2 linked regions of the Struthio camelus genome follow. The protein of the gene in region 1 purifies or fractionates together with the protein of each later gene. This does not show direct contact. Links are inferred from orthologs where the notes say so. Each region holds a gene or a part of one and is shown on either strand. Other genes may lie near its edges.

Evidence for each region.
Region 2: the proteins of NFKB2 (region 1) and CHUK purify together in Homo sapiens (affinity purification with western blotting; 4 studies listed by BioGRID and IntAct, with this or other methods). This does not show direct contact. The link is inferred for Struthio camelus from reciprocal best matches to the Homo sapiens genes NFKB2 and CHUK.

What each region holds. Positions count from the first base shown.
Region 1 is NC_090948.1:23,610,503-23,618,154, forward strand, and holds the start of NFKB2 (nuclear factor NF-kappa-B p100 subunit), read right to left. Parts: upstream 2,998-7,652; 5' UTR 2,895-2,997; intron 641-2,894; exon of another isoform or gene 537-640; intron 1-536. Other genes in the region: TMEM150A (transmembrane protein 150A), read right to left, coding at 2,998-3,242, 5,647-5,824, 7,090-7,217, 7,335-7,402, 7,490-7,561. UniProt on the Homo sapiens protein: NF-kappa-B is a pleiotropic transcription factor present in almost all cell types and is the endpoint of a series of signal transduction events that are initiated by a vast array of stimuli related to many biological processes such as inflammation, immunity, differentiation, cell growth, tumorigenesis and apoptosis.
Region 2 is NC_090948.1:43,888,017-43,895,552, reverse strand, and holds the start of CHUK (inhibitor of nuclear factor kappa-B kinase subunit alpha), read left to right. Parts: upstream 1-4,446; 5' UTR 4,447-4,480; coding exon 4,481-4,603; intron 4,604-4,674; coding exon 4,675-4,769; intron 4,770-6,957; coding exon 6,958-7,072; intron 7,073-7,536. Other genes in the region: CWF19L1 (CWF19-like protein 1), read left to right, coding at 799-1,008, 1,789-1,908, 3,668-3,765, 4,191-4,335.

The sequences.
Region 1 (7,652 bases):
GTTTTCCTTCTCTAGGGGCCTGTAAATCAGCGGCTTTGTTGTTGTACTATTAACTATCTGTTCCAGTTGTGCACCCTCACACTCTCAGAAAACCCCCTTCAGTGCTGGCCGGGCTCTCCCCAGTTTCCCCACGGCCCGCGGTATCGCTTTCACACCAGGGCCCGCTGCAGCCTTGGCGGTGGCTCTGCGGGGCTCGCGGGCGCAGATCCCTTCCCTGAACTAACCCCCCGCGAGGCTGCAAGCCCTGCTGCGCCTTGCGAGCAGGGGAGCAGCTGGCAGCGGGAGGGCCCCAGCCTGCGGCACTACGCACAGCCAACAGGGAAGCCGAGGAAAAGAGGCAACTTGTCCCCACCGGCCAGGGAACAGGCACCAGGACGCGCCTTCTCCTCCCCGTGCTCGGCCAGCCACCCTGCCCGCAGCCCGTCCCTTCCTAACACCGCCTTTCCCGCCCGAGCCCGCAGCCGGAGCGCCCGCGCAGGGGCGGCTGCCGGGGCCATAGCCGGCCCCCTCGGGCCTCCCGCCCGCTGCCCCCTTACCTCCAGCCCCAGTGCCCGGCACGGCCAGCTCGCCCCGGCCGCTGCCCCGGGAAAGTCCCGGCCCGGCTCCGCCTCCCGGGGCTTCCCGGCCCCGGCTCCGCCCCGAGGCCCCGGGCCGGGCGCCGCCTGCGCCGCCCCGACGGGGCGGCCGGGCAGGGCCGGGGCGGCGCGGCCTCCCCTGCCCCGGCCTCACCGGGACAGCCGCGGGGGGCACCCCCCGGCCCTGCCCGCCGCGTCCCTGCCCCCCCGAGGGTTTTTAAGCCACTCCGAGCCGCTGGAGCAGGGGACAAGCAGGTGACAACGATGCTTGGCTGCATCGTGGCCGGCACCCCGCTCGCGGGCAGCTACCTCGGGGCAGCCCCGGTTCCCCTCATTTTGCTGCAAGTCAGGCCCGTGTGGGCCAGCTGCAGCCAGCACAGCCACCGGCACCTCCGGCCCCACGTCGGGGATGGCATCCGCCGGGCCTCTCGGTGTCACAGTCACCCAGCAGCCGCACACGAACCGGCACCCTCCCGCCAGCGGGCACTTGTGGGAGTGCTGAGTTACCCCCGCTGCACCCCCCTGGCTGGAGTCAGGACATGCGCTACCGAGGAGCCCGCCCCTGCTCCCCTGAGCACAGCCCCGGACCCCGGCAGACCCTGCAGCAGGGGTTACCGCCTTCTGCTGCCTGCCTCAGCACGGCCCCGGTGAGGTGACACCCAGGCACAGAAATGCAGGCACAGATGTCCTTCTGCCACCTCTGCTGCAGGGGGCAGAGACCAGGACAGATAGGCAGGGATAGCGACTTCTTCACTGCATTGTGAAACCTCTTGTCTTTCACCATCCTGGACTTGGGAACAGGAAGCTGTGCCAGCAGCAAGTGACACCAGCAAAGGGCTCGTGGCCACCAGCCAGGGGCTGTGGGGACCTGGAGGACCACTTGGCTCCGGCTCATCCCAAGGCCAGGAGACACCCAGCCCTCAGCAGCAGGGAAGGCATGTCTGCTTCACACTTGCCTGATTTTCACTTTTATTATTGCAAATTCACTGTTCTCTCTTTATAAATTTTTAAACATATATTATATATAAAAGTCAGAAATGCTCCTCTTCCAGCTATGTATACTGGCGGATTTATAGGCCAGTTTTGAGAAGGTGGGCAAATCAGGAAGCACAACCTGATCAACACGCACAGCAGCAGCAAATGCCCCTCTCAAGAGACGAGGGGAGAATTTTTTTATATATATATATGTAGATATATACATACATATATATGTAGATATAGACATACATACACACACACACACAGACATACACACACACTCTTCACCCTCCATCGTCCCGCAGCCCGCTGCCAGCCCACCCCCTGCCCAGGACACCCTCAGTGGGACGCGGCCAGGGGCCGAGCAGGGCTGCCGGACGACGGCCGGGCTCTGGGCACCTTGGCTGCCCTCACCCCTGGGCGCCGACACACGAGCCCGCAGGGCCGACCGGCGGCGCTCCCGGCTGAGCGCTGCTGGAAGGCACCACGCAGATACGGGCACCAGAGGACAGATCCGGCGTCGGAGCCGAGCTGGCCGCAGGCTTTTGTTCCCAGAGCAAGCGTTGCGCGTTTCCGCGCCTCCGCTTCCCGGTAGGGAGGGCTGGCAGCAGCCTGCCCCCAGCGTAGGAAACCCAGGATTGCGATGCGCAGCCTCTCGGGCTGCAGCGCGTGAGAACGGCCGCGGTACAGCTGAGGTCGGCTGCGCGGGCGAGGGGAAATCCCCCGCCGCGAGGACGGGCTTGCGCAAGCGCCAGAGCGAGCCTCTCCGGAGGCACGGCCCCACCAGGGAAGAGCCACCTCCACGCAGGGTGCGCAGGCGGACTGGCATCAGCACCAACTCACTAGGGAGGGAAAAGGCACTTTGTTTTTTGGCTCCTCCGATGTGGTCACAGCAGCTGGCTAAAAGGCTCGCTGCACGGCTAGCTGCAGCCGCCCCGTGGCAGCAGAGGAGGGAGGAAGCGGTTCCCTGCCCGGCGCACACGGCCTCGGTGCTCCGCAGGAATCGCGTTTCTGCAGATGAGGGGTGGGAGGAAGGTGACTGCTGCTCCCCGAAACGCACGTCCCATCGGAAAGGGGTCGTCCGTGATCGTCTCCATGTCACCGCCCAGGACTCAGCAAGGGCAATCCTGGAGTCTCTAGGGGCGAGCAGCCCCACCTCGGCCAAGCAGCCCTGGGCTGGCAGCACCCGTCGCCCGCCAGCACCTCCCACCCAGAGCTCCTTGGAGAGCTGCTGCCCTTCCCCGCACAGCGCTGTCGTGCTGGGGCAGCACGTCCACGGCCCCTCGGGAGGGGAGGGCAGGGCACCGACCGGCGTGCACCCACGCATACACGCACACGCACCCAGAGGCGATCGGGGTCTCGGGGCCGTTCGAGGCAGGGGAATCACTCGCACAGTCTGATTTCCTGGTCCCTGCTGCAGCCTTAGGGCTGCGTCCCGCCGGGGTCAGATCATCGCCAGGCCCTCCGCGTGGCTGTGGATGTGGGCGGTGCTGGACACGCTGCTCTCAGTTTTGTAACTCTTGGGGGCCCGGCTGGCTTTCAGGAGGACCAGGAAGGTGTCCGTGGAGATGGCCCCAAACTCGAAGGTGAAGGTGCCGTAGAAGACCAGGACATCGATGATGAACATCCACTCACACAGGGCGGCCACGTGCTGCAGCACGAAGCTCTCCTGGATGAAGAAGACACCGCCTGAGGGTGTCTGAGTCAAGGAAAGCATCGCCAGACCCCAGGCACCCAGAGGCACAGCCCCTGGAGGCGTGCTGTCCTAAACCGTCCCCAGCTCTGCAGGCCCCCTGCGTCCCGCAGCGGCTCGGTAGGAACCCGGTCCCAGGCTCACCCAGCGCCTCGTGGGCGAGCAGCAGCTCAGTGCTGCCCCGGTGGCTTCTCTGGGCTTGCTGGGGCATCAGGAGAGCAGCCTGTTGGCCCTCGCTCTGCACCCCACGTCTGAGAGGTGCCGAGCTGGCATCGCCGCCACCTTTGGAGCGTGCTGACAGGGAGACCTGCGAGCAGCCTGATAATGAATCTGCCAACTCCAGCCCCGGGTCAGGGCAGCACCAACCAGGCAGAGCAGGGTGGGAGAGGACTGCCTGCCACGACCTTAACCATCACTTGCTTCCATCTTTCCAGCGCAAAGGCTGTCAACAAGATGGAGAGCTAAGCGTAGCCCCTGTTCTCCCTCCCCCAAATCTCTGATGCCAGCCAAAAGCACAACCCCACTTCGTGCAGCCACTACCCCTGCCCTGTGACACTCCGGTCACCCTGGCAATTCACAGGACCGCTGCCAGCTGGGGGTTTTCTGAAGATGCCATGGGAAGGAGGAACTCAGTCTGCAGTCCGCAGGGTAACAGCCTGGTGCCTGCTGCATAGGGCAGACGGTCTGCCCAAATACCCCGACACACAACCATCTGCTGTTCCTCAGACTGGGCTTTCTCCGATACTCCCAGTCCTCCTGCTGGACAAACATTCAAAGTCTACAAAACTCATCAGCCCTTGACCCTCTTGGTGGCGTGGTCTGGGCTGCTGCCTCCCTGCCCTGCAGCAGCTCCCTCCAGCCCCCCTTCCCTCAGTGCTGCCCTGGGGGTTACCCTGGAGAGGGATCGTGCTGCCTCCCAAGGTCTTCCAAGGTGCTACCCCTCCCGTAACTTTTTTATGTTCTTCTTGTCCTTGCATTTCTCCAGGGAAACCTAATTCCAGAGTCACTCTAGGCAAGAGAGACATCCCTCAACCCTGCCGTGCCAGGCAGCTGGATCAGTCTCTTGTTATATAGTACACCGTTTTAGGAAACCCCCTTCCCTCTTGAGTCAAACGCCTCCCACAAGTTGCAGCTTGCTATTGGAGAGCCCAGGATGTGCCAGGTGAAGCCTCCTGCAGTACCCTGCCTCCTGCCAGGGGCATCCAGGCCCAGGAGAGAGAGTGAGAGGGAGGACCCCGACCTGCACAGGGCAGGCCCCTCTGCTTGCCCTCTCTAGTCGCTCCAGGAATGGTCCCACACATTTACCCCACATCTGCCCCCACCGCAGCTCCACGCTTTTCCCATTTCTAGTCCCGAGTGCCAGCAAGGCCAGCGGCCCTCCAGCCCCTTTGGGACCTGCGGACACTTTGTGCTCTTTCCCCTTCCTGCCCATATAACCACCACCTCGTTTCCCAGTTTATCCCTAAGGTCAGTCCCAAAGAAGTCCACGGTGCCCCGGCCAGACACGCAGGTCCGTGCTTCCAGCGACCGCTTAGCCTGTTGTCGTGCCCTGCCTCCCTGTCGTGCCGCTGGCAGACCCAAGCTCTCCCTCGTCCTGCCGGGCAGGCCAGCCCCGTGGTTTCCTGGAGCGCCCCTCTCCCACAGGACCCCGCATCCGCTGGCGTCCGCAAAAGCACAGCCGCACTCTGCTTCTCCTTCAGCCTAACGTTTGCCAGTTGGACAGCCGTCCGCATCTTAGCTGGCCTTGGCACTACCAAAGGCTCAAAATACCTTTGTCTCATTAATACACTGGCCCCTGTGCTCCGTGCACAAGCGGGACGAGACAGGCTCTCCCCCAGGCACCTCACCCTCCAAAGGGGGGGCAGGCTGCGAGCCCGCAGGGGTGGGATTCGAACCTGCCGCCCGGGGCTGCCGCCCAGCCTGCTCTGCGGGGCTACTGCCTTCATGTGGATGGCACGGCTCTCTGCAGCCAGCCGGGACCTCCCAGCGGCTGAGCTGGGCTGCGGCTGCCGAGAGGAACGGTCCGGCCTGAGCCCACCTAGGGCACCGCTCCATACCACGTCCTGGTCCCCGAGAGGCACCGGCAGCAAGTGTGAAACGTCTGGGCAGAAGGCATGTCCCTCCCCTTCCTCTTCCCTCAGCCTCCTCCCTTCCACTCCCCTGCCGCTCTCCGCCGCTCCCGCTGCCCGGCACAGCCCCGATGCTGCTGCTCCGCCAGCAGGTCCGCGCCGAGCCGCCCACCCTGCCCTGCCGGGGCCTCGTTCCCGCCGTCAGATTGAGGGCCGGGGAACACGCCGCAGGCGCCCCCTGCCCCACGGCCATCCTCTGCGCAGGGCCTGGGGCCTCTCGCCAGCCCGTCCCGGGAGACCTCCTCCCCGCATGCTGCTGTGCAAAGGATACTGAAGACGAGGGTGATGAAGGCCATGGCAGTGAGGATGCTACGCAAGTGGCCGGTCCAGTAATGCCCGCGGGTTTTGGCCATGCGGTACGTGAGGATGGACTGCAGGAACACGAACAGCATACTGGTGGGAAACGCCACCCCAGCACCGATGTAATGCAGCACCTTGGCATGATCCACCTGCGGGGAGAGAGCGCCAGCGCTGGCACCGCGGGGTGCACCCGGCACGACCGGGCTCTGCCCCCCTCTCCGCTCCCACAGGGTGCAAACCCCGCTGCGAGCCAGCGCCCCATTCCCGCGGCTGCAGCTCCCTGGAGCAGGCGGTGCCCGGGCAGCGGGACGGCCGAGCCCCAGGACCGCCAGGGAGAGCACCCCGGGCTGGGTGCTCGACTGAAGGGCACATTTAGACCCATCCACTGCTGCCAGGATCTCAAAGCGCATCTGCTTCCTCGATGCGTGGGACACCTCTGGCTTAGAGCCCCGCTGCGCGCAAGGCCATCGGGCAGGGGAAGCCCTGCGCCCATCTGCCAGCCTGGGACTGTCCCCGCCTTGTCCCTCGCTCCCGGCCTCCCGGGCCGACACAGCCCCTGCCCTCAGCCGAGCTGGTTGAGGCAGGGCTGGGGTGCGAGGTGAGGGCTCGGGGCCAGCTACGCTTCGTCCCTGCAGCGCCCGCAGCAGCCTCCTGCAAAGCGGAAGGGGAAACTGCTGCCAAGGAGGCGCGGGCAGGCGGCTGCGGCAGGGGCCGGGCTCCGGCGGCGCTGGCGCAGGGCACCCCGGCCGCGGCACCCGGCCGGGCTCACCTGCTTCTTGACCCTGCGAGCAGGCAGGGCCAGCCGCCCTCCCCGCGGCCGGACCGCCAGGGCAGAAAAGCAGCGCCAGAAGAGAGCAGCGTCTGCCGGCATCACCTCTGCAGGAGCAAGCATCCCCCGGGAGGGCAGGGCAGAGGGAGCCAGGCCAGGCCGCTGCGCCGGCAGCGATCGGCGCGCAGGGCGGCGGGTGCCTCCACGACCGCCCCGCCGGGCGCAGCCTCCGGCCGCGGCGGCCCCCGCTCGCAGCGAGCTCGGAGCGCGTCCGGGACAGCAGCCGCCCATGAGGCCGGCCGGCCGGCCCAGGGCGCACCAGCACCCGGCCCAGGGCAGCCGATTGCCCAAACGTTTGCTTTAGGAGATAAGGGTTAAACCAAAGCCGGCAGCGTAGTCGGGATCCGAAATCGTGAGTGTGTAAGCAAGGAGGAAACGCAGGGAGGAGCCGCAGCGTGCGGACGAGGTGGGGGAGCGCCTGAACCAGAACAAAACAACAGCCCCCCAAACCCCTCACAGCCGAGCGCTGCAACCCCCCCCCCAAAGGGCTGGGACACGAGCCCCGGGCAGCGCCGGGCTCCTGGCTCCGGGCCCCGGCCAGGGCCCAGCAGGGACCACCGCCCTGCCCCGGAGGAGCAGCCTTACCTGGAAGTTGCCGACCATGGTGAGGCCGGCGGCGCAGACCCAGCCGGTGGCCAGCCCCAGGGTGTTGAGGAGCGAGGGCCCGCAGCGCTCCAAGACGTGGGCGTACCGCAACAGCCCCACCAGGATCACTGCGGGACGCAGACAGGGCGCCGGTCGCGCACCGCCGGCGGCAGCCTCCCGCCGCCTCGCCAGGGGCCGGGGCAGCTCCGCCGGGCGCCCAGCACCCCTCGGCACCGCGCGCTTACCCATGAACGAGCCCAGGCTGCAGATGAGGCTGAAGAAGCAGCTCTCGGGAGGCAGGGTGCCACACTTGCTGCGGGGAGAAGGCGGCGGGTGGGCGGGCGGGCACCTGCTGCTGCCGCCGGGCCAGCCCGCGCCCTCCCTCCGAGCAGCTCCTCACCTGACCAGGGGGATGTGATCCAGCGTGCAGCACGAGCCGGGGCCGTCCACACCGCACGACTGGTTGTAGTTCCTGGGGGGAGCAAAGGAAGGGGCTCGGAGAGCGGGCACGGCGGGCAGGGGCCGCCTGCCGAGCCTGCAGGCAGCCCGGCCCCGGCCACGCT
Region 2 (7,536 bases), about 20 Mb from region 1:
ATGGTTTTCTTTTCAATTTCTTTCATTTTCCCCCTAAAAGACACAGGTATATAGACAGACTTGTAAAAATGAAACATGGCCCTATTTTGCTCAGGCAACGGAGCTGAACTATGCTGACAAAATACTTTTTTGGCTATGCCAGCCTTAAAGGTTTTCATCTTACCACCTGACAAAACTCTTCCAGTGCGAACTCAGTGTGAGCTGGCAACAGCTTGGCAGCAGGATGCACTGACTGGAGTTATGCCAACTGTCGCTGGGGTGATTTGTTCCAGTTCTGTCATATACAAATTAAACAGAAGATTCGTAGTTTTTAGTTATTAGTCTCCAGTATGTACTTGAGGATGTTGAATTAATCATTGATCTCTTTACCTTCCCTAAATTACTACTCCTATCTAGTGTAATACACTGCTAACTGCTATAGGGACAGATTTGTCCACATGTTCAGTTTAAATGCAGGTGTACGTTTTCAAGTGGTTTTCTTGTTTGTCTCTTTTTGTTGTTTTAATAGAATTTCTTGATACAGTGGTTCATTCACTTGCCTTCTTTCAGATAACTTATTTCCTCATGTTCTGGCACTTTTTTTTTCTTTAGTAGTCCCTGCCTTTTTCTTGTTCATCTAGTAATTAATTTCTAATAAACGTAATCTCTAGTAAGTGTCATGGAAAAGGAGGCTTTACTGATGCGGGATAGCTAGGCTGTGGGATGCTCTCAGAATGTTGTCAGAGAGCACAGGTAAGCTTCACAGCATGGTAAGTGTTTGCAGTGAGTGAGTAACTGATATATATTGTTTCATTCCAGTGCTATCTTGCCCTGGCCAAGGGTGGCTTACTACCTGATCACGTCCTGATTTTGCCTATTGGGCACTATCAGTCCGTAGTTGACCTGTCTTCAGAGGTGGTGGAAGAAGTGACCAAGTACAAATCTGTCTTAAAGGAATTTTTCAGAAGCAAGGGAAAGAGATATGTCTTATTTGAAAGAAACTATAGGAGTCAGCATCTGCAGTTACAGGTATGATTTGAGTACAATAGCAGAAGAGCGCAACCTGAGCTTACATGCCAGTATGTTGAAAGAGACGGCTCACTCTCAAACTTCCCTCTTTCCTCTGTGCCTTCACAGAGTATGGATAGAAATCATCTTACCCAAGGATAGAGGCAGAACAAAAACAAAGCCTGGGTGCTTATTCTGCCGCAGTCCTTGTTTTTCCTGTTACAGCAGGCACAGGGTTGATTTGTGTAGAGTGAGTGAGATACAACTGTTTTTCCCCTCATGACCCTGATTAAAAAGCTCACAATGTGTACAGATGAGTTGGAAGACTTTGCTCGTACTCTTATCCGCTCATACTGGCACATGAACTGTGGTACTCATGCTGTAACTGAAGTAGGCTGAAAATCTAGAAATACACCTGCAGAGCTCTGGTATTGGTAGACAATGAATAACCTTTTGATTTGATTGTTTCCTGTATGTTAATCACTTGGTGGTTTATTGTGGTGGTTTCTGTATCTGGCAGATCTGTAACTGTATCAGAGCGGCCTTAAACTACCACAAAGATCAGAAAGGAGGGTGACCGTTCTGAGAACTCTTTCAGGCTATTAGTTTTCAGTTTTCTGTTCAACTCCTACAGAAAAATCTCTCATAAGTTTAAGCCTGTATAGATAGGTGCTCACCTGTCTTATATGATGATGACGAGCAGTACTGAGGAGCATACCAGCTCCAGTGATGGATTTATTGCTTTCTGAGAGTAAATGGTTTGTCTTTTCTCGTTATGAAAATGTTGTCCATGCTCTCCAGGTGATTCCTGTCCCGTTGGACCTCTGTACTTCTGAAGACATTAAAGAGTCCTTTATTGTACAGGCACAGGAACAACAGATTGAATTGTTAGAGATCCCAGAGCACTCAGATATCAAGCAAGTATGAGACAAGATTTCACCTGTCGTTTACCTCACCTCAATCCTTTCTAAGCTGGTATTTCACTCTGGGGTCGCTTTGCATGGTAAGACTAAGCTGTTGGAGGTAGACTGCCATAGACTTGAGTTGCAGATATGCCCGAGGTTTTCACTTCTGGATGAAGTCACAGTGAATGACAGATGATTTGCTTCTTTGCAAATTAAGGCCTTTATCTGCCTACAGCAGTTATACACCTTAGGCTCTCCAAGATGATCAATACTTGCTTTTCATATGAATGAAGCCTATGCTGCTAGGTGCACTAGATAGCACTGCTATCCTGGTGCGATTTACGAAGATGTCCTTTAGTTTTCTCGGAGCAGCTGAGTGTTTACTCGAGGAGAAACTCCAAATATAGGTTAGGCAGAAAGGTAAGGCAGAAATCTGACTTTGAGGACAGGAATGTAAAAGATAACCCTTGCCCTGCTACCCCAGCTCTGTGCACAGGTTGCTGCACTCACTGCTAGTGATACCAAAGCAGCCCTTTCTGTGTCAGTGCAAAGCAGGTAGCTTTAAATTCCCTTGGATCAGGATTTGGAAGAAATATTCCTGTTGTACCAGAGAAATTAGTCTAGTGATATAGGCTTCTCTGTAACCAATAATCACAGGGAGACCATATCTGCAGCAGGACCCAGAAACAGCACATATTTATGCTAGTTACTTTCTAAGCTATTACAAGTATTTATATCTGTGTCAGAAAACTTAGGGTTTTTTTTTTTAGCTGAGAAGTGTAAATTTACTCTCATGTGATTTTTTTTATCTACAATATGCTGTATTAGCTTGGGATGACTTAGCTAGGCAATTATGATCACTCTTACTAGAGGTGTCATTCTGCAGAATTAGTCCACAAAAATGTAGCATTGTGCTCATGGTGCTCCATATGCAAGTGTACAAACTGATCCCGGCTGAAAGCAATCCATCGCTTCACATCTGTCATGAGCTATGTTTTGAGATCTACCATTGACCCAGTTTGTTCCTGTTTGTGTGTTCTAATCTGACTTTCAATTTGCTTTGCAAAGGAAACTAAAACACAGCTAGGGTCCTCCTTGTTAGGAAGCATCAGCTCTTTGACAGAGTGGGGCCGACTTCTAGGACATGGCTACTCACAAGAAATACTTAGGAGAGGGCCTTTTTTGGTGTTTCATTGATGAAAAGGCTTTGGAGTGAACTCAGCCAGGACTGGACAACCCACAGGGTAAAGCCCTGGGGGGTTTTTTGGTGCATAGGCACATTTAAACTTCAGGATCTGCATGGTCTCGGGTCAGTCTTGGCAGAAGAATCCACAGGAAGCTTGGGTTTCCCTAACTCTAATATTCAGTTGAATCACGGTTCAAGTATAATCATCCAAGTGTAGTCATCGACATCTGTTACAGTGTCCAAAAAATGCACTTTTCTTGCTGTAGTTCAAAGCCAGTCTCTTATGAAACCCTGTCATTTTTAAATAACAGAACTAGGGTAGTTATTCTGCTCCGCTGTTGGGTTAGAACCCATTTGAAATACCAAGATGAATTTAACATTACTTGGAAGACTGGCGTGAAAATAGTCAGTGTTGCCCTGCCACTGTTAAAAGCTGCCCTTGCTCCCCTGAGGCAATAAGGGGCCTGACAGCTGGCAGTTCCCTGCTGCTTGGAGGTCAGCAGGGACCCTTTTTCTGGGCTCCATCTTTCAGCAAGGTTTCATCTTCTTTTTTTTTTTTTTTCCCCCCTTTCTTTCTTCCCCCACCTAGGTAGCCCAGCCGGGGACACCCTATTTCTACGTGGAGCTGGACACGGGCGAGAAGCTTTTCCACCGCATCCGGAAAAGCTTTCCGCTGCAGTTTGGCAGGTTTGGGGGTTTGGTGTTTTTTGCCCTTTTCTCTCCTCCCTCATGCTGTGGTGAAGCAGAGTGGCGCATGGGGTGCGGCAGCTCTCATGCCACAGGGCCTGTTGGGTGGGTGGGGGTGCTGTGATGTCACGCCGGGGGGGTGCTGTGATGTCACACCGGGCAGGGGAGGGGTGTGGGGGTGCTGTGACGTCACGCTGGGTGGGGGAGGAGTGTGGAGGGGGTGCTGTGACATCACGCTGGGCGGAGGGGGGCCTGTGGGGGCACTGTGATGTTGGGCCGGGCAGAGGGGGGCCTGGGAGGGGTGCTGTGACGTCACACCGGGCAGGGGAGGGGTGTGGGGCCGCCGTGGCCTCACGCCAGGCCGGGGGAGGGTGTGGGGGGCGCCGTGACGTCACGCCGGGCGGCTGACGCGGCTGTGCTTGCAGGGAGGTGCTGGCGAGCGCGGCCCTGCTGGGGTTGCCCCACCGCGCCGACTGGCGGCAGTGCACGGCGGCGCGACCCGAGGAGGCGGCCGCCGCCCAGGCCTTCCGCCGCGACTTCCAGCCCTTCGACTTCGGCCTGCAGCACTGACGGCGGCGGCGGACGTGCGGCGATGGGCGGCGCGGCGTGACGCACGCGCGCGCGCGCGCGCGCTCTTCTGTGACGCGGCAATAAAGGCGGTGTGGCGCGGGGCGCTGAGTGGCTGCGGCGCGGTCCGGGGGGCGGCGGAGGCGGCATGGAGCGGGCGCCCGGCGGCGCGGCGCTGCGGGGGCAGCCGGCGGGCGGCTGCGGCCCCTGGGAGATGCGGGACCGCCTGGGCACCGGCGGCTTCGGCAACGTCTGCCTCTACCAGCACCAGGTGGGCGCCGGGCCGGGGGAGCGGGGCGGTGCGCGCTGCGCCGGGCCCTCTGACGGCGCTGTGTCCCGCAGGACTCGGGCGCCAAGGTGGCGATCAAGTCGTGCCGACTGGAGCTCAGCGTCAAGAACAAGGACCGCTGGTGCCACGAGATCGACATCATGAAGAAGTGAGTGCGGCCGGGCCCGGCCCCGCCGCTGGAGCGGGGCGCCGCCCAAGCCTCGGCTGCCTCTGCCCCGGGGGCTGCCAGCGCGCTCGCTCCCGCCGCCCCTTCTGCCCCTAACGCGCAGCCCGGCATGCGGGGACCAGCCAGACCCCCTGGGTCTGATTCAGCTGCTGTGTGGGGTGGGGGTCTAGTGACAGCTGGACCCCCCTGTACTTGCATTTGACCAGTGCATGGGTTGGGGTCTAGTGACAGCCAGACCCTGTTGAGTGGAGTGGGGGGTCTAGTGACAGCCAGCCCCCTGGCCTCCCTTACCGTTGGTACGTGTCATGGGAGTCTAGCGAAAGCCGGACCCCAGCGCCCGCGTTTCTCTGGTATGTGTGATGGGGGTCTGGTGACAGCCAGACTCCTGGGCTGACATGGGGCTAGTGTTTCGCATGGGGGGGTCTAGTGACAGCCAGACCATTGTGGTCACATTCAGCCAGTATGTGGGAGGGGGATCTAGTAACAGCCAGCCCCCTGTGGTCACGTATGGCCTGTGTGTGATATGGGGGTCTGCAGTGACAGGCAGCCCCTCCGGGCTCGCATGTGGCTGGTGTGTGGGACAAGGGTTCTAGAGATAGCCAGCCTTCCCACCCTGGGCTTGTATACGGCCAGTATGTGGAATAGGGGTTTAAGTGAGAGTCAGAGCGCTTGCACACGTGTGGCCAGTGTGTGGGGTGGGGGTCTAGTGACAGCCGGACCCACTGGGTTCATGCACAGCCGATGTGTGGAGCTGGAGTCTAGTGACAGCCAGGTCCCCTGGGCTCCTATGTGACCAGCGTTTAGGGCTGGGATCTAGTGACATTCAAACCCCTCTGCACTGGTGTACCAGCTGGTGTGTCAGGCTGTGATCTGCCGATGTTCTGAGCCCTTCTGCTCTCATGTACCATCTAGCGTGTTGGATTGGGACCTAGTGATAACCATCCCCCCTGCACTTATGTGTTGGTCCATCTGTTTGCTCAGGACATAGTGACGTCCAGACACCTGTGTGCTTCTATACTGGCCCGTGCATCGGGCTGTGATCTGGCAATTAGGGATCTGGGAATAACCGTTTTCTGTGACGTTCTCATTCTTACTGAGTAACGTCTCCCAGCTCTTTTTAAGAAGAGGTTACTCACCCTGGGCAACCCGCAGTCCCTCTCCAGCATGTCACTCTGAGATACCTGTGAAACAGAGCAGGTGAAATTCATCCTCATGGACAGAGTTGCTCAATTATTTCTCTGGGTGTCAGGGATCTCGTGGAGCTGTTTCCTCATCATGGGAACTGCTTCCTCTCGAGGGAGATCCTGTAGCATGACATGTACAGTCCTGCTGGCAGGAGCAAGGACACCCTTCCAGAGTTTTATTTTGAGTAGTTCTCCAACAACTCAAAACCCTTTGCTGTACCCATGCTGCATGGAGCTTTACTGAGGTCATACTGTCCCTTGTCACGCTGATCTGCTTACATACATGCTGCTTTCACATTATGTTATCAATAGTGGAGGAAACCACTTGCAGGTATCGTGTTAGAGCTGAGTTTGCAATTCAGTATTGGGTGATCACTGTTTCTATCAACGTTTTCACTGCAAAACTATATTCATAGTCTGAATATAGGCACTGAATTGTACCTCTACAGCGTCTTTTGTGGTAACTCCCAGAGACTTTGGACTTTGTATGTTGGAGTAATTTATCTTCTTTCTAGATGTGTGTTTTATTCCTGAGAATAGCATATTTTGAGACAGTGAGGAAAAGCTGTTTGAATGTAGTTACCCAAATGATTTCTTCCCAGCGTACATTTATTTTACGTGCGTGGTTCTACTTCTATAGAACAATTACACAAGTGTTAACATATTCCTGTAAAACTTCTGGACTAAAGGGAAACTGCTTCTACATGCAGAAATAGAAACACATATGAAATGACTGTGCCAAGAATGTGCAGAAATCCAGAACTTGAGCTTGGATCTCCATCATCCAAGTCCTGTATCTTGACTTGGAGACCATGTTCTGCTCATCACTGGTTTGTGTATTCACAAGGTATGGATCTGATGCATTTCGGTACTGGGCAGCAGTAAGTTTGGGGAGATCTTACCTGAAACATAAAGCACGGTTGGTTGGCAGTCTTGCTCTCCCAAAAGAGGGGTCAAACTTTTCATCAGGCTCTCCGTGTGCCTAGGTTGAACCATCCCAATGTAGTAAGAGCCTGTGAAGTTCCCGAGGAGATGAACTTTCTTGTTAATGACGTTCCTCTTCTGGCAATGGAATATTGTTCAGGAGGTGACCTCCGGAAGGTAAGTTCTGCTTTGCTTTGACACACGTAGGAAAACGAGTGGAGTTAATGCTCTTTTCCTAACTGATTGTCTGTGAAACCACGTATATTGCAGGTGGAGGGAGGTAGACGTGTAGTAAAAAACGTAAGTGTGAAGTGAGGCTTGTGCTATGAGACCAGGTGATAGAGGGGATAATCCAAGGGCAGATATTACTTTATCCTGAAGTAGTGTCTCCTTTCATAGGACCGCATCAGCATTAATGCCGTTTCCTGTAGCCTCGATGTTAGCACCCACCATGACTGAATTTGCTGCTGCGTGCCTGTATCTGTTTGAAGTCTGATCTGTTTTTAATTCACGGGTGTCCAGTGTTGTGTTGTTTTCAGCTACAAGGAAGGATCTTGATTCTCTTGTGCTAGACTGGGACCGCTAAAACTTTCAAGACTTCCCTGTTTCCTTCTAAACCGGAAACTGCCCTTCTGTAAATG